Linked DNA regions of Alligator mississippiensis. The protein of the gene in region 3 purifies or fractionates together with the protein of the main gene of each other region. This does not show direct contact. Links are inferred from orthologs where the notes say so. Each region holds a gene or a part of one and is shown on either strand. Other genes may lie near its edges.

The links.
Region 1: the proteins of CDK19 (region 3) and MED13 purify together in Homo sapiens (affinity purification with mass spectrometry; 6 studies listed by BioGRID and IntAct, counting the BioPlex papers as one, with this or other methods). This does not show direct contact. The link is inferred for Alligator mississippiensis from reciprocal best matches to the Homo sapiens genes CDK19 and MED13.
Region 2: the proteins of CDK19 (region 3) and MED16 purify together in Homo sapiens (affinity purification with mass spectrometry; 6 studies listed by BioGRID and IntAct, counting the BioPlex papers as one, with this or other methods). This does not show direct contact. The link is inferred for Alligator mississippiensis from reciprocal best matches to the Homo sapiens genes CDK19 and MED16.

The regions. Positions count from the first base shown.
Region 1 is NC_081837.1:3,766,988-3,773,963, reverse strand, and holds the start of MED13 (mediator of RNA polymerase II transcription subunit 13), read right to left. Parts: upstream 3,043-6,976; 5' UTR 2,821-3,042; coding exon 2,755-2,820; intron 701-2,754; coding exon 466-700; intron 1-465. UniProt on the Homo sapiens protein: Component of the Mediator complex, a coactivator involved in the regulated transcription of nearly all RNA polymerase II-dependent genes.
Region 2 is NC_081839.1:3,218,055-3,225,604, reverse strand, and holds the start of MED16 (mediator of RNA polymerase II transcription subunit 16), read right to left. Parts: upstream 3,042-7,550; 5' UTR 2,931-3,041; intron 2,628-2,930; exon of another isoform or gene 2,317-2,627; intron 2,160-2,316; 5' UTR 2,095-2,159; coding exon 1,959-2,094; intron 383-1,958; coding exon 275-382; intron 1-274. UniProt on the Homo sapiens protein: Component of the Mediator complex, a coactivator involved in the regulated transcription of nearly all RNA polymerase II-dependent genes.
Region 3 is NC_081824.1:96,328,429-96,335,821, forward strand, and holds the start of CDK19 (cyclin-dependent kinase 19), read right to left. Parts: upstream 3,053-7,393; 5' UTR 2,520-3,052; coding exon 2,392-2,519; intron 1-2,391.

The DNA.
Region 1 (6,976 bases), on a different chromosome or scaffold from region 3:
CATCCTATGACGACGGCATCCCAAAGCATCATTCTGAAGTGTCAGATCATCCCACGCCTAAACCACAGGCACAGCTTTGGACACTTTCCTCTTTTTGAGAAGAAACCCACCAAAAATTCACATAATTCCCTTTGTTTATCAAAGTAACAGGATCCGCAAGTAAAGAGGGGCACCATCCCTCTGGGTAGACAGACAGCTTAATGCCAAATAGGCACACAATTTACTATCGCACTACAAGACTCAGAACAGATGCTCCGTTATGAGAAGATCCCACCACCAGAGTTATCTGACTCTTTACCCCAGCCCATCAGCACCATACGTTCAAACTGAGCAGTTTGTCAGGTCACGACACTACAGAAGATGAGCTGTACATCTTTAGTGTCATTTCTACGAAGCTGGAGAACACGAGGGTGAAGGAGCGTATTCCTTACGCCGACTGAACAAAATCTAGTAATAGTCTCTTACCTGCCAGGTCATGATGAATAAGGTCAGCAAAGTTGGGGTCATCGCCCCACCAAAATATCCACAGCTCTCTGCGTCCAGGTCTCTGATCACGCCGCCAAACACTCAGTACGTCGGCCTTCAGACAGCGACTGAAACTGCTCAGAATGGGGTCTTCTTCCGTTACAGGAAAGAGAATTGGGGCAGATGTTGGGCCCTGCCATACGTATCGTTTCCATTTAATGCCAGTTAAATCAGCCTGGGGGAAGAGAAAAAACAAATTCAAGGACGTGTTTGGGCAAAAGCAAAGTTTACTACATCCAGAAATCATTTCTAGTTTCTTAGTTAGAAAGAAAGTATAAGAAAGACTCAAAATAAGAAACTGCCAGAGGATCCCTACTTGCTATGAAAGCATCAAAGATTAAAAAAGAAACAAGCTCCATTGGTTAGGTCAATAAAACTTGTCTGAAACTATATTCTAATTTCGTAAACCCAGGCGTATACCAGAATGCCAAAAAAAGACCCAACCCTAGGTCCCAAGTTATGATGACCTTTATCCTGTTTTAAAACTGCCTGAAATAACAACTCTAATTATTAGTAGCAGAAGCAAACCTGCAATGAAACTAATCAACTTTTTAAAGGCAGCAAAATAAAAAAAAATTAAAAAAACAGAAGTGAAGGGCAGCAATGGAGTTATTTTCAAACAATTTCGTAACTGCGTGATTATTAACTAATCACACATCTTGGCAAGGGATTTTTTTCTCTGGACTTCATCTTGCATTGGCCCTTCTCTGTATTTAAGTTACAAAGCCCTTTCAGAAACCTGTATACAGTCCGCCTATCCTCAAAGGACACTTTCCAATCCCCTGAAAGACTTTACCGGTTACAGCAAAAAAACACAAACCCTTTCAGACACAGGGAATACTTCAAAGAAGCATGGTGACTATACCCTGCACAACACTGTTCTCTTCTCATCTCATGTCTTACAAGTGAAATTCTAAATTATTTTTCCTTGCTGTAAATGTGTTTGACTTTGGTCAGGAATGAGAAGTTATGATGTGTCCCGGACCTTCCGAGCCAAAATGCATTTTCCCCTGCTTCTTCCTAGAGGCAGATTACCTGCACCTAATGGGGAAAAGACGAAGCTAGAACTGTTATTTACAAAGCAACACTACTAGAGACTAAGGTGAACGCTATGACCACTGCTTGGCTGGAGCAATGACCTCGAAGGGCTTGCCAGGAGGCACCATGGGTTTTAAGCTAATAAATGAGCCTCTGTGATGGATACCTTGTACTTGCTTAATGATTTCCTCCTCCCCCATATGAGAAAACAGCTAAGAGTATTGCAGCTCCAGGTCTAACATGGCAGCCTCCCCTACCTCAATAAAAAGGGGCAAGGCTGGATTCCAGGTTACGAAAGGATTTGCAACAGCTGGTCCTTCTGAAAGACTAGAGGGCTTAAAAGATGTTGGTGGTATTGAGCTACAGGCCTGATGCTGCCCGTCCCCTTGCTATCTGGCAGACACGACCAGGCTGTCCAGAGTCCCCTACCCCCAAATCCGCCAGTGCAACAGACCGACACATGTTTGACAACAACCACCATCATCCTCAGTACCAGGTAGCCTACCTGGCACGCGGCGACCTGCGGGCCAACGCAAGGCTGTCTACCTGGCACGCCGCGACCTGCAAGCGACTAAGGCAAGCCCGAGCCGTGACCCCCCCCCCGAAATTGACTTGTTTCCATCAAGTTGGCGTGGGCAGCCATCAACACGAAACCGCGGACCCCCTAACGGGGATCGCCCAAACCGCTCGGACGAAAGCGAGCGGCGGAGCCAATCCACCCGGGAAGAGCGGGGAGCGACGCTTCCTCGGACAAAACGCCCCCGGCCACGAGATAAGACCGCGGGTTCGCCCCCCGAAGGAACCTGGCCTGGTCTCCCACCCGCGAGCGCCATCGGGCTCGGGCTGGGGGGGGGGGGGAAGAAAGTTAGTTTGCGTGCCGCCTTCCTGTCAGCGCTAACACGAAGACGGGTGGCGATCGGGCGGCGGGAGCTGGGGGCTGGGAAGGGGCAGGCGAGCCGTGGCGATAGGGAGCTGGGAGTTGGGGGCCGGGAGGGAGAAGGGGCAGGCGAGCTGTGTCCGCACGGTGGTGGGAGTTGGGGGGGGAGGAGGAGGAGGGGCGCCAGGAGACAGACAGACAGCAGGGTGGGGGGAGAGGTGAGGTGCGGGGCCTACTCCGAGGACTCATCCAACCCCTAAAAAAATGGCTGCTCGGCCTCCCCTCCCCCCCGCGGCGGTCGGGCACTGGCTCACCAGGCAGAAGAGGTTGGAGTGGCAATCCTCCAGGCTGGCCCCGTTCGGCACGAAGCAGGAACTCATCCTCACAGCCGCAACCCGCGCGCCATTATCCCACAGCCTCCGACAAGAAAGAAAGAGACAGGCGGGGAGGGAGGCGGGGGGCGCCCGCACGGCTCGGCGCCGGGCCGGGGCCGGGGCCGGGGCGCCGGCGGGGGGAGGCGCGGGCGCTGCCCGCCGGCTCGGGGGGGCCGCGGCGGCAGGAGGCGGAGGAGGAGGAGGGCGGCGATCCGGCGCGGGGGGGCGCGCAGCGGGCGCGACCCTCCGTCAGGGGCGGGGGCGGGGAGCGACGCCCGGCCCCTCGTGTCCGCGCGGGGGGCGGGCGGCTCCCGCCGAGTCCGGCCGCCCCGCCGAGTGCCCGCCGCCGCGGCCGTGTCCGCGCGGGGGGCGGGCCCCGAGTGCGCGGCCTGCGTCCCGGAGCGCCGCCCGCTCCCTCAGCGGTGCCGCTGGCGGCGGCTGCCCGGCCGCGGCATCCTGCCCTGCGCCGCGTGCCGGGGGCGGTGCGGGGGGCGCGGGTGGCGGTGCGGGGCAGGGGGGGGGGGTCTGCGCTCCCGCTCCGATCCGAGCCCCTTTTTTTTTCTTTAATGGCGGCCGCGGGGACGAGAGTCCGGGGCCCCCCCCGCCGCGCCGCGATTGGCCGCCGCCGCGTCACGTGGCGCCGCCCGGTCATGGCGGCTCGGCCCAGGCGGCGGCGGCGGCGGCAGTGGCGCGGAGCGGCCGCTGGGGCGCGAGGCAGCGCTGTTGAGCCCGGCCCCTTGCCCGTTGAGGCGCCGCCATCTAGCGGCCGCCCAACGCCTGCGGCCCAGCCGGGGGGTGGGTGGGGGGCGGCCTGGAGGTGGGGGTGCAGGCCCCAGCCCTCCTGGCTGCCCCTGAGGGGTGCCCTCCACCACCAACAGTGCAGACAAAGCTGGGCGGCTGGGTCGCGCACCTGCACCGCCCGTCGTGCTCGGGACGCTTCTCCGCAGGTGCGACTGGGCTCTTCAGCCGTCTTCAAAAAGTCACCCCCTCGTGTCAAGGGCAAGCCGGAGGAGACGTTCGCTAGTAATGGCGGGAGGCCACGTTGAGGGCAGACCTGAAGAAGGCGGACGGCCGCGGTCAAGCCTTGGGAGGAGCGGTTTGGGCGACGGCCTCCCGTTTTGAAGGAAACGGTCTCGCCCTCGCGGTGGAGGACAGAGAGCAGGGGGGGGAAATCGGGCCTACGGTCTGTTCTCCGCTGTGGAAAGACCTGCAGCTTGGTCCGCGGTTCACGGATAGGACTAAGTTGCCTCGAGACCCATTGACGAGCCACGGTAGAGATCTTCAAATCAAGGCATCGCTGCTGCCGCCAGCCACGACGGCAAATTCACGAGCCTGCGGCTGGACCACAAGCGCTCAAGTTGGACGGACCATCACGGCTGCGGCATCGTTTTGACATTGTTTTTTTAAACGTAGCTTTGCTGGCTAACGTCTTCTAGCCTGGCTTTGCCAAAGGGTCTGATACAAACGATCGAGAGAGTTGAACAACCGGCGTAGGATGGTTTGGAAAGGGGGCTGCAGGAGGTGACCGCTGGAGGTCCCTTCCACCCCGACTTCTCCAGGATGATCCTGTGACTTCGCTAGTACAACATCTGGATGCCACGGCGGCACGCCACATCAAGACCTTGCAACGCATTTCCCAAGCCCCCAAAAACTTATTTCAGGATTGGTGAATGAGTCGAGTGGCAGCTTTCTACTGCTGCCTTGACTGAGCGTGGGAGGAAAGAAAGGACACTCTATAAATACATTTATATGCTAAAAGGCACAAGCAGTGAGCAAGCACAGATGCATTTGCTTCTCATAAACTTTGTAGATTTAGTCACCCTGAGATTATTTTCGTATGCCCTTGCAAGCAGGATTTTCCTCCTTTATTCAATTAAGCCTAAACTGGAGTGTTTAAAAGAGAAAATGAAATTTACAGGAGATCTTTTCCCTTGCTGCTCATCTAAACTCAGCAGCTGGGGACAGAGATGGGATGCGGGGAGAGGGCAATTAGGAACCCAAGCCCCTTTCCGACTAGAAGCAGATGGTTTTCTCCGTGGTGACTGAAGATCAGGACAGGACTAGGAGGAGGTGTTCTGCTGCAGTGCTCAGAACCGACTCCTCTAGGCTGCTTTGGATACAAGCAAAAGCCCTCCAAAGTTTTAATGCAGACCTTTGGTCGTTAGAGTAATTATCTCCCTGCACACAGAGAGAGTTGTTTGCAGCGTTATTAAGTCACACATCCCCAAGGAGAAATTCAACACTTTGAAGGAACTACAAGAAAGCAGAGATCAGCATTAATACAGGAGTACCGGTGTGGTTTCCATTAAGCAGAAGAAGGATCTTTGGGTAAAAATGGGATTCGAGTGCGAGAATGGCAACATTGCAGTACTTCTGTAGGCCTGATTTTTAGAGGGAGAAGCAGCCCTGTACGTCAAGGTGTGAACAATGACAAAACACCAGCAGTTTAGAATCTGGCCCCATCTCCTTAAAGGGCAGGTCGGTGGTTAGACCAAAGGATTCAGAGGCAACCGATTTAGGGTCTAATACGGACTCTGCCCACGGGTTTTCTGCCTAGCTGGTCTTTGGCAACTTGCTTACGTTCTACACCTCATTCTCACATCACGATCAGGTTAGTAAATACATTTTAAAGTACTGCGGTATCCCTGCTGAAGGTGCTATGGTATACAAGTGCAAATTTATGCCCAGAAGCAGAAAGGACATGTCCTCAGAGGTGAAATTAGCTAAAGATACATATTGTGGGGTTTTTTCCTTACAGTACTGGTTGTGGGCTGGTTGTGTTGTTTTTATTCCCCCCTCCTCATCCTATCACTTCTGCGAGATCCAAAATGATCTTATAGTAGCCTTATACCTTACATAAAGTGTCATACACAAAAAGGGCCCTGCCTAAATCATATTAAGACACACTGAATAATATTAAGTGTATAGCTATTCATGTATGGCAGCCCTGCATCTTATGCAACTTGCACTTCAGATTCAGATCACTACAAGTTGCAAGACAAAGCTTCTAATGACTGGAAGGGGGGAAAATGCCTCCTCCTCTCCCCAACTAATTATGCAAAAAAAATAAAAATAATAATACTAATAATATCATCACTAGAACTGGGAGATGAGTGCTTCATTTATTTATTTATTTTATGTAGGTCCCTGCAGAGTCCTAATCTCCACAACTTCCAAAAATTTACATGAGAACTGTCAAGTGCAGTGCACATTTTAAAATGTTAAGTTTAAAGTTTGGGGGTTTTTATATTTTAAAATATTTTTACATATGTCTTGTATATGTACATTAAGCTATTTGTTTATAAAAATCAGGAGAGATGAGGTCAAATAAGCATGCCTTGTACTTGGAGCTGAAAGCAATGGGGTCTCTGATGGTTCCTGTGCTTATGCAATAGAAAGAACCAAGAGAACGTTGCTGATCCAATTTAAAAATTAACCAGTCTTTGGAAAGATAGTGATGGGGGGAAGTGTCCAGCATTGCACAAGACTGAAGTCAGGGAACTGGCTAGGTGAAACCTTGAACATTAGTATACTTATCCCTACATATTATACTGTTCCCCCCCCCACTTACAAGTGGCTTCAAATCATCTAAGCATCCAGCCATGAAGAGTGAGAAACAGCCTATTTTCCCAGTAGGCACAGGTGCTCAAATAATTATTTATTAGTGGAATAAAGAGAAGGCACAAAAAAGCAAGTCCTTTTTCCTCAGCATTGTTTGCATTTCTGAACTGTTCCAGTTTTTGCTCCTTTTTCATTTACGTGATAAAAATATTCCCCTGTTGAATATGAAGAGTCAATGGATTATATCATCGCCTGGGGAATCTCTCCATGGAATAATATAAAAGAAAATGGTACACTTTGAAAGTAAAGTTCTAAAAAGGAAAGTGGATGAGACATCTAGCGGACAACGCCAAGCACAACTTGAAGTGAACAGCACAAACAAGCATCACCTTCAGTAACACCATTACTTAAATAATGGAAGATGAAAAAGGACTCGGTGGCAATCAGTGTATGACTGCAAGATGGAGAGGGCAGTTTTTGCAGCCTCTAAAACTGCTACAGCCAATTGCTCTTCTCCCCTTATTTATATAGTCTAATTTGGGAGAACGGTTCTGTTTTTTTCCAGCACCCCAGACATTTATACAAGTAGAATTCCCTCCAT
Region 2 (7,550 bases), on a different chromosome or scaffold from region 3:
GAAAGACTGAAATAAGAATGACTGCAAGAGTGAGCAGCTTGCTGGCAGCTGTACAGCTAATCACTGATGGTTAAAATAAAACCATAACTCCTTTGAATCTGGAAGGGGTGAGAAGCACAGCAATCAGTGCAGACCCAGCTGACCAGATCCATGCACAGGGCCACAGAGAGTGGGAGGCAAAGGAGAAGTCTGTCCAAACCCTCCTCCTGGCATCTCACCACACTCTGCAATGTTGTGAAGCCAGGGAAATAAACGCTGTTTGAGCAGTGCTTACCTGACTGATCCCATTCTAAGCAGGTGATAATTTCAACGTGCCCAGAGTTAATGGAATAAACGTCCCATGGATGCTCTGTGTCGATGATATGGACCATGTGGGTGAGATCTAGGAAGAAAACACACAAGGTCAGTTCCAGGTAACCTCCACTGCAGGTTTTTAAACTGTGACAACTCTCAGAGCAGGACACCAGCAACAGCTTCCCTCATTTCTACAGCAACACATATACACAGGCTTCCTTACCTGATGTACCAAACGAGCCACTCACTGCTCCAAAGAATTAACTGTCTACAGCTCCTTAGCTGGCGTTTCTCAATCTCAGGATTGTGAAAGTGCTGGAGGGGTGGAAATCAAAACCACCTCCCATTCTGCAAGCAGTATCTTTAATAAAACCAGCTGAAGGAGCAAGGCACTTCCAGCCTGGGAAGAGGAGCCCTTGATTATAAAAGAGGCTGAGAGTCACTGCCCTGGTGTATGAAATGACTATGATGTTTTGCGGAGAGGAAAAGAGAAAGAACCTAAATCTCCCACACTGTTTGCACTAGGACTCACTGATGTCAGAGCCAGCAGGGCCCATGACCGCACAAGTCCTAGCTGCCCGTGTACTACAGGCCACAGAACTTTGCCCGGTTCCCCTTGTATTGAGCACGGTTCCAGGCGACTAAGGCACAGCCTCTAGAAAGGCATCCGATTTTGACCTAAAGTGATCAAGAGACGGGAAATCCACCACTACCCTAGAAAACCTCTCTGCCTACGTTTTCTGGCTGCAGCCTGCTTGTCGAGAAGCCCAGCGTGCGAGTCTCACAAGGTGAGAGGCTTGGTTATTCCCCAAAACAACAGGATAACATGTCCTATTGAGAACAATTTAAGCAGGCTCTGACTCTGCACTGAACCCCTGCAGTCAGACCCCTCAACTCCCTGAAACCAGTGGCACCCGGTTCCATCCATGTGGATCTGACAACAGAATTAAGGTCACAAGCAATAAATCAATGGTGCCTGGAGATGAATCCCCAATCCTTTCCGCTGCATTTGCTCCTGCCTGTTGAACCACAGAAAAGGGGAAAACTTGTCACTTCAGCCAGGAAGCACCTTGCTTCATTGGAAGGCAGCAGAAGCAAGAGACCCGTGCCATGGAGGAGACTAAACAGCAAATGCCAAAGTCATTTTCATTCACTGTGATAGGATGAAACATTGCTGCTGTCGCATCCACCGCAGCAGCCACTGACACCTGCTTGTCCCAACTCTTGATAACAAGCGTGCTGTCTACCCAGAGGAGCACACAAAACACCAACAGACTCTCCCTGTGCCCGGAAAAGGGTGGTTTTTTTGCTCAAAAGCTTGCAAAGAACAATTTTTCCAACTATTTAGTTTAGGTGCAAAGAACAATTCTTCCAGCTCTTTCGTTTAGATATCGCATCGACCCAAAAAACCTCGTCCACAACCAGCAAGGAGAATAAATAAGATGTGCAAACAACCCTCTCACGCAACCACCGGGCAATCAAAGCCAGTGAGACTTATACTCTTAAATCACTTTGGGATTCGCTAAAGCACCTTTCTGAATGCTTTATCCCCAGCTAGAAGCAATGCTAGGGGGGACTACAACAGGACACCGCTCTTCCTCGTGGAAAATTCCCATTGTAAGACATCGTTCAGGAAAAGAGGAAAACACACAATTTTGCCCTACCTTTTTCCTCTTCATTTTTGAGGTCTGTCGTGAAGGCGATCAGGTTCCTGCAGGACCAAGCACAAACCAGTGGGATTGAAGGGCAGTGGTTGCTTTTGGGCCTCTTCTCCCACTCGCAGATGTAAGCCAAGTCCATGCTGCCTCGGGAAGGCGTCCAAGGCACCGCTCGCCTTCGCGACGTCTAGTCATGGACTTTGGTGCCTATGGAAGAGAAGAATCGCTGTTCTCTGCTGTCGGACTCTCTCCCCCCGTTTCACCCCGCTCAGGAGACCCGGGCCCATCGCTGGAAAGCTGCTTTATAAAGTAGCAGCTGCTTTCCAAAGGAAACGCGCTGCGCTGAGCCAGGGCCCCCAAATACCGAGAGGGTCGCACTGGGCAGGGCCAGCGGAGGGGCGAATGCCTGGCACTATTGACATGCTTTCTGGCACGGTCTCGGTTGGTCCAAGAACGGTGTCATCTCTGCACCACGAGTTCAGGCTTTTTGCATCTCGCACGACTCGGGAATCCTTAAAAACGCCTCGGGTCCTGCCCCAAGACCTCGCCGAATACCTGCCTTTCAGGGAGATGGAAGGGGGGGCTCGCTGCCTCCGCCAACGCCGTCAGCATCGCCCCCCACCAGCAACCCCTGGCCCGGACACAGGGCAGCCAAAGCGCCCCCCCAATGTGCAGCCAGGGGTGCCCCCCAGGGGTAAATGGAGTGCCCCCCCCTCCCCCAGGGGCAACTAGAGTGCCCCCCACCCCACCCAGGGGCAACTAGAGCCCTCCCCACCCCACCCAGGGCAGCCAGAGGCCCATCCCCCACTCCTCCAGGGGACAACCAGAGCCTCCCCCCAATCAGGGGCAACTGAAATGCCCCCCAGGGGCAACTGGAGCTGCCCCCAGGGTAGCCAGAGCCCCCTCCCCTCCCCAAGGGGCGACTGGAGCCCCCCACAGCCCCCCCCCTTGCCTCCCCTCCCCCCGCGCAGGACTCACCCCCACCCCCACCCCAGCGCTCCTTCGCCGCTGGCTGACGAAGGCCCCCGGCAGGGCTGCCCGCGCTGCGCCTGAGCCAAACGTGCAACTCAGGGCCGAGACGGAGCCCTCGGCGAGGGGGGGAGAGGGAGGCTCCTCGGCGGGAGGGCTGTTCGGCTCAAGCCGCAGGCGGTTTCGGAGCCGCGCGCGCAGGCATCGTTGCGGACGCCCCCAAGTCGGGGTCTTTCTATATCAGGCTGCGCTCCGGGCCGGGTGTTGATTTGTATACAAGCTCCCTCTCCCAGAATCCCTCGCATCGCCGGCGCTGGAAAAGTGGAAGTTTCCTAAGATTTTACCACAAATAACTTAGAAATTAAAAAAGTATCTGCATCATACAGTATTTTTCATGAATCATTCATCTAATTATACTCCGTAACGTGCTATAGTTAATCACCATAAGAGTAAAAGTATGAATAACTATGAGGTATAAATATCGATCTGGGAGAAGGGACATTCGTGCTCGCTTCGGCAGCACATATACTAAAATTGGAACGATACAGAGAAGATTAGCATGGCCCCTGCGCAAGGATGACACGCAAATTCGTGAAGCGTTCCATATTTTGCTCCTCTCGGGTCCATAGTTTGCTCTCCCAATGTTCCGCTTTGTGCATTCCCTTGGGCCCATAGTTTTGCTCTCCCTTGCAGCTGCAGCGGGACCCCCACCCCGAGCCCCTTTGCCATGTGGGGGCTGGAAGGAAACGCCCCCTCCCAGTAAGCCCCAGTAGCGCTGCCTAGTGCACAGCCTAGCAAACTGCGCTGGGCTTCCCAGAAGCCCACGGTGCCCCTGGGAGGGCAGGTCTACCCAGCCCCTGGCCCTGCTGCCAGGGTGCAGGGCAGCTGCCCCAGGTGGCAGGAAGGGGCACGGGGCAAGGGCTCCTGTGCATGCTTTTGCAAGGCCGGGAGCGGTACCACCCATGGGAAAGCAGGTAGAGGGCACGAGGGGCTTCATTTCTTCTCCCCTGGAGGTCCTCATGGAGGAAGGTTACGTGCCACTGTGCCTGCCTCAGCCCAGCAGGCGCCTGGCATGCTTGTGGGTGCAGCACATCTGTTTTCTTGGGGGTCTCCCATCCAAGCCAGCTTGGGCCTGGGGGCATTAGGCACCCCAACCCCAGCCCCTTTTCCCTCCCATGTCCACGTCCTGCCTCTTCCACGTGGGGTTTTCCAGTTGGCACAAACTGAAGCTGGAGCAAAATGCTCATTGCAGTCCCACGTGCCAACAAGGGGATGCCCCCTTGTCTTGTTTGCCACCAGCCAAAAGGTCAAGCTGGGAAGCCCAAAAGCAATCCCACCGCTGTCCCCATAAACTGCACAGCTGAACCCCTTGGCCAATGCAGTGCCTATCTTCAAGAAAGGGAGGAAAGTGGATCCGGCTAACTATAGGCCCATCAGCCTGACTTCTATCCCGGGGAAGATCTTAGAAAAGTTTATTAAAGAGGCCATCCTTAATGGACTGGCCGACGCCAACATCTTAAGGGATAGCCAGCACGGGTTTGTTGCGGGTAGGTCTTGCTTGACCAATCTCATTTCCTTCTACGACCAGGTGACCTATCACCTGGACAAGGGGGAAGAGATTGATGTCATATATCTTGACTTCAACAAGCCTTCAATCTGGTGTCCCATGATCACCTCTTGGCAAAACTGGCTAACTGTGACCTTGGGTCCACCACAATCTGCTGGCTGGGGAACTGGCTCCATGGTGGGACCCAGAGAGGGGTGGTTGAAGGAAGCCAGTCCTCTTGGTGTCCTGTGACCAGTGGGGTCCCCCAGGGCTCTGTCCTTGGACCCACACTGTTCAACATCTTCATTAATGATGTGGACATTGGAGTCAGAAGTGGACTGGCCAAGTTCGCCGATGACACCAAACTTTGGGGCAAAGCATCCACACCAGAAGACAGGCGGATGATCCAGGCTGACCTGGACAGGCTCAGCAAGTGGGCGGATGAGAACCTGATGGTGTTCAACGCCGATAAATGCAAGGTTCTCCACCTTGGGAAGAAAAACCCGCAGCATCCTTATAGGCTCGGCAGTGCTATGTTGGCTAGCACTATGGAAGAAAGAGACTTGGGGGTCATCATTGACCACAAGATGAACATGAGCCGGCAATGCGATGCTGCGGCTGGTAAAGCGACCAAAACGCTGGCTTGCATCCATAGATGCTTCTCAAGCAAATCCTGGGACGTCATTCTCCCCCTGTACTCGGCCTTGGTGAGGCCGCAGCTGGAGTACTGCGTCCAGTTTTGGGCTCCACAATTCAAAAAGGATGTGGAGAAGCTTGAGAGAGTCCAGAGAAGAGCCACGCGCATGATCAGAGGTCAGGGAAGCAGACCCTACGATGACAGGCTGAGAGCCCTGGGGCTCTTTAGCCTGGAAAAGCGCAGGCTCAGGGGTGATCTGGTGGCCACCTACAAGTTTATCAGGGGTGACCACCAGTATCTGGGGGAACGTCTGTTCACCAGAGCGCCCCAAGGGATGACGAGGACGAATGATCACAAACTACTACAAGATCGTTTCAGGCTGGACATAAGGAAGAATTTCTTTACTGTCCGAGCCCCCAAGGTCTGGAACAGCCTGCCGCCGGAGGTGGTTCAAGCACCTTCATTGAACACCTTCAAGATGAAACTGGATGCTTATCTTGCTGGGATCCTATGACCCCAGCTGACGTCCTGCCCTTTGGGCGGGGGGCTGGACTCGATGATCTTCCGAGGTCCCTTCCAGCCCGAATGTCTATGAATCTATGAAATCTTAAGATGTGCTGGAGAGCGGCCGTCTCCTGCCCACGTGCACCTGGCGGTCACGCAGCCTCTTATTGAAAAGCAATTGCAGGGCAGGAAGCCTCCCGCAGCCCCCGGCACCTGGCAGGGGAGATGCTTTCAGCCCCGGTGGCTCTTACTTCCCCTTCGTCTCGGTTTCGAAGGCCGTGGCACAGGTACAGGTGAGGCCTGTCCCTTGCTGATCCCTGCCAGAGTCTCCGACTGCCTCCAAGTGCAAGGAGCTCAGCTGTGCAGTTTATGGGGACAGCGGTGGGATTGCTTTTGGGCTTCCCAGCTTGGCCTTTTGGCTGGTGGCAAACAAGACAAGGGGGCATCCAACCTCCAAGGCCTGCGGGGCCTGGATCTGGGACCACCTGAAGCATCCAGAGTTTGGGAGGCAGGAGACTTGCTAACGGACAAGGCAAGAACTGGGGCCAAGGGCTGCAAGGGATAGAAACCCTCTCCTCCGTCCCACAAGCTGCAGCGCAGAGGGACAAACACGTGGGAGACATTTGAGCTCAACCAGCTCCCAGGCTCCCGCGTTGCACCCCACCGTCTCCTGCTGGAAGCCCCCCGGGGACGGACACCGACGGCTGCGCCCCCCAACAGAGACGCGGACACAGGGAGTCCGGAGCACCATGGTTTATTGTTCTCGTGCAGATGCCTCCCGGCTCTGTACGTGTCCTCGCCTTCCCCAGCCCAGCCCCCCACAGCAACCAGCAAAAGGAGCAGTGGCAAGAGCTGGAGCTGGATTCGGGGCATCGAACACATTTAAGAGGAAGGAAATCGTGATGCCATGCTCCCGAAGCAACGACACAACCACGGGCCACACGCCGCAGGCCCCAGTGTGCGCTCGGCTGCACGGGACGCTGGCGGGGCCACGAAGATCACTTTGGCTTGCCAAGAGGGCAGAGGTGGAAGGAGGAGGCACCAGTGATGGGGACCCATGGGAGAGCTGGGCCTTCGGGAGGATTTGATCGGAGCAGAAGATGCTATAAAAGGGCCCGATTCGCTCCCCGCTGCTGGGGGAGCAAGTCCTCCTTGCCCCCAGCGCTCGATGCCGTGGTGGTGAAGTGTGACACGGCCCTGCTCTCCCCAATCCTGCTCGCACCCAGGGTGAATCGGGAGCGATCCCAGCAAAGGCAGCAAACCCCATCCATCACCCAGCGCAAGAAGCACCACGACCCCCCATCCTCGACCCACCCCAGCTCCCCCCCGGCACGGGCATGCACGAGGCTTTTGTACAGCCGTGAGCAGTGACGCACACAAGTGCAAGGCAGCAGCACCCCGAGCCCAGCGCGTCCCTTTCAAACCAGCTGCTATATACACCGAAGAGAAGCCCTTGATACACAGACACACGCACAAAAACCCCACAGAGCGTACACGTTAAAAAAACCACAGGCGGCACAGTCTGCAGCCCTACAGCGCTGGAAACCAAGCCCATTTCACACAGCACCACAGCACGAAACACTCCCGTGCCCCGGCGCGCCCAGCTGCCCAGGGTGGCGGAGCTGCAACGCTGAGCTCCAGCCACCTTGGGAGCGGCGGGGCAGCCGGGGCCCGAGTTAAATCACGCACACACAAATATGTATAAAAAAAGGACACGCTATATTACATTTAAAAAGGATGGGAGCCCTGCCCTGCAGAGAAAGCCAGCCCTTGGCATTAAATCTCGCTGCTCTCTGCATTGACGCTTCAGCTGCTGCAGCCCAGCTTCGGTGCCAGGCTGCAGGGAGAAGCGATGGGACGGGGCTGGTGCCAACACCCAGCCCGTCCCCCCAGAGCTGCCACGAGAGCTAAAACAGACCCCCTTCCCCTGGGACCTAACCCT
Region 3 (7,393 bases):
GGAAGGAAAGGGAGCCAGGGAGAGAGAGTACAGGTGTGCTGCCGGCTCTTGCACGGAGCGTCGAGGACCCCGCCTGTGGGTCTCAAGCAGGCAGTGTAGGCAAGAGCTGGAAGCCTTTCGCCAGCAGCCAAGCGAGAGGCGGTCAGAGAGTGCATGCCGAGGCACTCTCTCTGCGTCCTGAAGCGGCAGACACACAGGAGGCAGGGGAGCGCCCTGCGGACGGGAGGAAAGGGGAGACAGCGGAGGCCCCAGGAGGGGGCTGGAACCGGGGGAAGCACCCACCAGCTCCCCCTGGTTCAGAGGAGTATTATTTATAAGGGAGGAGAAAGGAGAAACCCCTCTCAGCAGGAGGGAGGACAACCGGGAACCGGGGAACCGGTCAGAGGCCATCATACTGGGCCTGGCAACATCTGGAAGACATCGCCCAGTGGCTGGCGTGTGGACGGGGTGTAGGGGAGGCGGAGCCCCGTGGATCACCGCGTCCAATAACCGTGAGTAACACCATCTATCGGGAGGCCCCACCCAGGATAAAGATCTCCTCTGGAGACCCCTCTGAAGGTAATTGAGTACATCCAAGTCATGGCAGGCGAGTTGAGGGGAGGGACAACACCCCGATAGGCCAGGCGGAGCGAGGCGCAGGCTCCACACGTTATTTCTTCACACAGTAATAATGGAATTTTGTATTTGAAAAAATATATCAAATATTAATTTACTATAGATTTTCCAAAATTATTTAAAGTTCTTGGACATATGGAAAATAGCTTACATTTTTTTTTTAGCTTTCTGCAAGAAAAGCAAGCCACCTACCTGGGATTTACAAGCATATTGAAGTTTTAATCACAGAACTGCAATATGAAAATAAAAAGTAACAACTAGGTAGGGCATTAACTTCCCATTACTGTAGTAGCAGGGGAAATAGAGCAGTATCATATAATCACTCTGACTCTGCTTACCAGCTAGTCTAGAATCACACACTCCAGCTACCAGACTTATGAACTACAGCATAATTTAATGTTTCCTTGGTGTCAGACTTTGTTGACTGAACTGCAAGGCTCCTCATAGGTGGATCCAGACCCATGTCTGGTGGTACAGCATTAAATACCATGGGGATTAATGCACCCATCTGTCTCTCCTGTGTTGTGCACATGCATCCCCAGTGGGGCTCTGTATGGCTGAATTTGGCAGTGGATCCCCCAAATTCCCAGCCCTTCCAAGAGCTCTGCAGGCTGAAAGACATCTCCATGGGCCAGATCTGGCCTGAGGTACACACTTTGACATTCTCCACTCTAAAGGGTAACAATGTAAAAGTAAGCCTAGGAAAAGGCTAGACACTGTGTGGGTGGGGGGGGAGGAATAGTGGCATGATATTTCCTCTGTTTGATATTAAAGGTGTTAAGCAGCACTTATTCCAAACAAACACTTGTAGAAACCTTTTACTTTAAGTACTTACATAAGTTACTTCACTATGCTTCTTGTAAGCGCAGGTTAAACAAATGTTTTTCTGGGGTGGTTTGGAAAGAGATGATCCCCTGCTAAGCAAGAGACCACCTCCCAACATCCCTTCCAGCCCTATATTCCTATGACAACAGCACCCAATTTTTTTCCCAGCATCACCTCCTCAGAAATCTCCTGGACCAGGCTGACAAGCATGAGCAGTAGAGGCACTCAGGGACCACTGTCACTACACAGATTGCAAAATGCCTGGGAATAACGACAGGTATCCATCTGACAAAGCCAACTTCAGCCCACAAAAGCTTGTACCCCATGCATCTTAGATAGTCTATAAAGGTGCAAACCTGCCCTGCTTTCAGACTGATGCAGCTAACTACCTCGGACAGGTATCCAAGCCAGGAGGCCACACTCACCAAAAGGGATCCAAGCAGCTCACAGCAACGCCCCAACTGGCCCCAAATCTGGGCACAAAGCACCCACACCTGATATCCACAGGCTCCCCCCAACCCAGGACTGGGTCCTGAGCCCACATATGGCCCCAGCCAAGGGATCTGCACCTGCCTTTGCCCCTGGGGAAAGCCAGTGGGGGGCAGAGGGAGTGCTCTGCTCTGCTCCAGGAACATTTCTAAATAGCCCAAAACTTTTCCCCAGGATTTGGCTGTGTGCATGTGTACCTGCACATGTGTGCCTGTGCATACATGCGCCTGTGTGCCCATGTGCCTGTGCATACATGTGTACACGTGTGCATGCGACCGTGTGTGTGTGTGTGTGTGTGTGTGTGTGTGTGTGTGTGTGTGTGTGTGAGCCATGTCAGCCCCTCCCAGCGCTAGCACCGGGGCCCCCGGGGAGAGGCCGGGCGCACGGGGCGGGGGGAGGCGCCAAAGGCCGGGGGCGGGGATGGCTCCTCCACCCGGCCCGGGCCGTGGCTGCGGGCCTTACCCGTCCTTGCGCCGGGCCTTGTAGACGTGTCCGTAGGTGCCCCTGCCCACTTTACAGCCCTCGTACTCGAAGAGGTCCTCCACCCGCTCGCGCTCGGCCGCCAGCTTGGACTTGAACTCGTAGTCCATGTCTGCCGTCCATGGGGCGCGGGCGGCGGCGCCGGCTCAGCGCCCCCCGCGCCGGGCGCCCCCGCCCGCCACCATCGCTGCGCCGCTCGGCCACTCCCGCCTTCCGCGCTGCTCCCTGCAGGGGGCGGGGGAGGGGGCCGCACCACCACCGCCCGCTTCAACTCGGGCTCCTCGCAGCGCCGCCCGCGCAGGGTGTTGCGGGACTCGTAGTGCCGCTGCCAGCGCCGCGGCCCCGCAGCGCCGCCCGCCGACTATAACTCCCAGCGTGCCCCACACCGGCCCTGGCCGAGCCGCGCCTGCGCAATGCGGTCCACCCCCATCGGAGATTCAGCGGCCGCTGGGAAACTTGCTGACTCCTCACATTGCGGGGCAGTGGCGGGACCGACCGACCAAGCGAGCGGGGCGGGGCGGGTGCGGCGGCCCCACAGCCTTCCCTCACCACGCACCCCCTGGCGTACGCCCGCCACCCTCCTCGCTCGCCGGGCCCCGCTGCAGCCTCTGGGCGCGCGGGGCCGTGGAGAGCCTCGCGCGGCAACTTGTTTATCTCCCGAGCTGCCACTCACCTCCTGGCCCCGCCCTCCTTTCCAGCGGCGCTTCGGATTGGTCAAAGCAAGTCCCGCCCCCTTTCCCAAAGCATAAAACCAGGTGTCTGCAGCATTATTTCTTAGGTTGCACTGGGGAGGGGCTTGTGACTTTTTTTTTTTTTCTTCTTCTTCTCTTTACCTTGTTCCTGAGGGTGCCCAGGCTCTTTTTAATGGCCTCGATATTCCTGCCTTCAGGCTAGTCTTTGTTCTGCCACTGAGCTGTCCCTTGGCTGCTTCTGACAAAAGTGGCTCCTATTTCACAGCCCAGCAGATTGTTTGCAACTCCTTCTAGCCAAGCTGTAGTTGTTTTTGCTTCCATCTGAAACTGCATACTCCCAGCAGTATCCCAGGGGACTGAGAGCAAGCAACTCTGGTTTCAGCAAGTTGTCCCTATTTATCTTGTCTCTGTAGGTTGTGAAAGGCCTTTGAGTTTGAAGAGAGAGGCTTTTAAAAAAAGCATAGAGCTTTTTTCAGGCACTTAAAAAGGATGCTTCTATACTCAAGCAGTCACAGGAGTGCTTTGAGTCTCTAAAACTAACGTTTAGATGCCAGTCTTTTTCTTGTTTGAGATCTTTTTGTAGGTCAAGTTTATCTAGGGTGTTCAGACACTGGATTAGCAATATGCTTGTTTTTTGATATTACTCATGATTTCTTTGCATTATGGAAGCACCAACAAGCCCTAATCAATCATCAGGGCTACCTCGTGCTGTGAAAGTAATACGAAAGTCATCCCTGCTCAGCAGACTGGTTTGAACAAGCAGCAACAAGTGAATGAAGTGGAACAAACACTTACTAGGAGAGCCAAGTAGTAGCAGTAGTTGATTTGGCATGTAGGAAACTGAAATGCTTGACAACCTGCCTACTCACTATCAGCTAGCTGGCAGTGTTTTTATGCATGAGTTAACAATGTGCTAGTCTAATTGATTGCAATGGGGATTTTTTTCCCATGCATAAGGGACACACCTTGAGAGAGAGATTAATTACCAGATGAAAGGTTTACCATTGTTGGCAAAGGAAAAGGACAGATGAATTGCAAACAGGGCTAAATTATTACGGTCAAGACAAGAAACTTGTGGCAAAAAGATTAATGTAATCCTGAAGTGATAATTCAAGGGTTGGGAGTCTATGGCCCAACAGGCCAGATCCAGTCCCTGGATGTGGGCTTTTCCCTGCTGCTGCTGGGAGAAGTGCCAGCTGCAGGCATTTTCCCCATGCTGCCCTGCACAAAAGTGTCAGCAGCTGGATCCCAGTGTCCACCACATCTAACCCACCCAAACTGGGTCACCACAGCTTGCAGCCCAAAAAGGTTACCAACAGCTGTGGGAGCAGGAAAGCTACCTCCTGTATAGTGCCAGACAGCTGACTTCCCCTCCTGTAAGAGTCAGTGTCAAAGAGCTGACTTCTCTTCTCTCTGCAAGCAAACTTCTCTAGAGAACTATGGGTACTGTTTTCTGCAGTGGTTCAGTTACAGGTATGGATCTCTATCAGCACAGTCTGTTTCTGAACTATATATTGGGATATTTCCATTTGTCTTTCAACAACGCTGAAGAAAGTATTCTAAGAATAGAAAAAATCCTCTGTCTTTAATAGTCTTAAGCTTTACAGTCCTATCAAATGTTTAATCAGCTGGTAATCATACTTTGCACTTGAGGAAGAAACAAATGCATTTAACTACAGTGCTATGTTGCCCTGATATATTAATTCAATTTTAACCAATTAAAAAAATACCCAAGTGTGTTACTAAGACTAAACTCCACAAACCTGTATGTAGCCCTTTTCAGTCAAAATAATGTGAAAAGATGGGAAATATCAATGACAAATATGTCCCTCTTTCTTCAGTTCTATCATTTACCTATATAACTACATGCCATATGGCGCCATAACTAATTGCATGCCTCCAATCTCAGTTGCTTTTTTGTGACTTGGCCTTTCTCCACTTCCTATCTCCACTTTTCTCAGCACTATATTTTTCCAGCTCTTTTATTTCTTTGCTTCCCTTCCCTTTCACTCTAATAACTACCCCTTGCTCATCTCATTGATGCAGTAGTGCATCTCTTCTCCTCCTCTAATCCCTCCATTTGTTCCAAGCGACAATCCCATCCATCTACATTGTATCCACTCATCCTTTCCTTAACCTTAACCGCTCTATGCTCTTTGGTTCTTTCCCTTCACAATACAAATATGCTTCAGTTTTTCCTCTCTCTCTCACACCTGTGACCCCAGTTGCCTCTCCACCTAGGCATTCCCACAACCATGTCACTAGTAAAAATCAATTAATTTGCTGTCTGTAATAGTAATCTGGTATAAATCTCAATTTATTTTAAAAGATGAATTAAGATGTGTAAGAAAGCTATGAACATTTCAGGCCTCAAACCATTAAAAGCTGAATGGAAGTCCATGTATATTTATTTTCATTTTTGTAACTTTCTGTGTGTATACTAGCAAATTGCCCATCAAAAATTATGGGGAGGGAGGGCAGGCGGGGACAGAGCACCACCACCCACCACCCTGTGCCACCATCACCTCCCAGAAGCGGGGGGTGGGAGGGGAGTTTGCATGTGGCAGCCACCACCACTAGCCACTGCTTCATGCTGCCGCCGCTCTGCATCCAGCCGTGCGCCACTTCCTGACACTCTGCGTCCAGCCCCACGCCACCCCCCTCACCAGTCCACATCCAGCCCTGCACCACCCCCCCATGACACTCCACATCCATCCCCACCTTCCCACTCTGTGTCCAGCCCCATGCCACCCATTCTCCCTCCCCTTCCCACTCTGCATCTGCCTGGCCCGCTCCGCTGGAGCCATGCCCCACCCATCATTCTTGACAGGCATTCTTGATGCAGCACTGGCTGGAGCCATGCCCCCCAAGAGCATTACGGACAGACAGACACGCTGACAGATGGATTAAGCCCTTTATATAGAGAGAATTTTTGCCAAGGTACCAAAACTAAGCTCCGAGTTGACTGTTTTCTCTACAGAATAAATAAACTCTTAGAAAAAAAATACTTTTGAGTTCATTAACTCTTGCAAGGGACAATACCTTTTTCAGGTCCTGCCAGGCAGTCATAGTTCATAATATGTTCACTATGTCTGAAATGTTTAAGTCTAATCTGCAGATATTAAGTATTAAGGAGAGCTGTAATTTTCAGTGGTGCCTTGCATGTACCACAACATTTTGATTTTCTCAGGCAATATCTTTGCCTTACGGGGGGGGAGGGATTTATATTTTTGAGCTGGTTCAGTATGTCTCTGGATATTTACTTCATTTATTGTGATACCTTGACAATTAAAGGCACTGTGGCAGAAAAAAATAGCTTATTATGTTTTGAAAGGTAAAGAGTACTAATCTTGCCATCAATAAAGGCATTTTCATGAAACCAAGTTTCATGAAAAGGCCTTTCTTTGATTTCTTTCCCCTTTAGTATTGCAATAGTGTTTTAGAATCAGTAAATGAAGCCAAGTGGAAGTGAAAATGAAAATGGCAGGTTTTTTATTGTCCAAACTGAGTAAGGTGAAAGTAATTAGCAAAATATTCACAAGAGATAAGGAAGTGTATTTTTTAAACTAACGGTAAACCTAACAGTGTCTGTTTTAAGAAGTCAAGGAGAAGAAAAGAAAATCAGAAGTAGCTATGATCACAGTTGTACCAAAATAATAGTGCCAGCTATGCTTTCCAATACAGAGCTAAGATGCAGAAGAATAGTGGTAACAATACTGTCTGTTCCTGTTCTACCATTCCCTCACACACCTTCCAGCAGTTTGTATCCTGGATCCTTAAAAGCACAGAATTAACTCAGCGGTCAGGAGTTTATCCTTGCCAATAGAAATTATTTAAAGAGTTCAGTTCTTTTTTGTTCCAACTTATTTTAGGCAACTCCAGAGGGAGAGGTTTTCTCCTCTAAAATTATAGAAACAATAGTGGGGTTTGGTTTTAATCGCTCTACGTTTCAGGTGCTTTACATTAACCACCGTGTCATCTATACATGCCCTCTGACTAGAGACAGGCTCACAAGGGTGGGGAGGGGGAGCTGTTTTAATGAGAGGCTGGAGAAGAACAGCACAAGTCATCCTTGTCTCCCCTTTACCTCTGGAAAGGGAGTCACACCAAGCAGTAACTTAGAGAAAATGGAGGACTCTTTAAGCAACAGCAAATGAGAGGGAGAAATACTGAAAGAAACAAGTTGTGTGGTGTAATTAGGGTTACCATATTTCCAGTTCCAAAAAAGAGGATACCTGCTGGGGGGAGGAGGGGATATGATTGTGAGGGGCAGTCCCCTGTCTCCCCAGGCC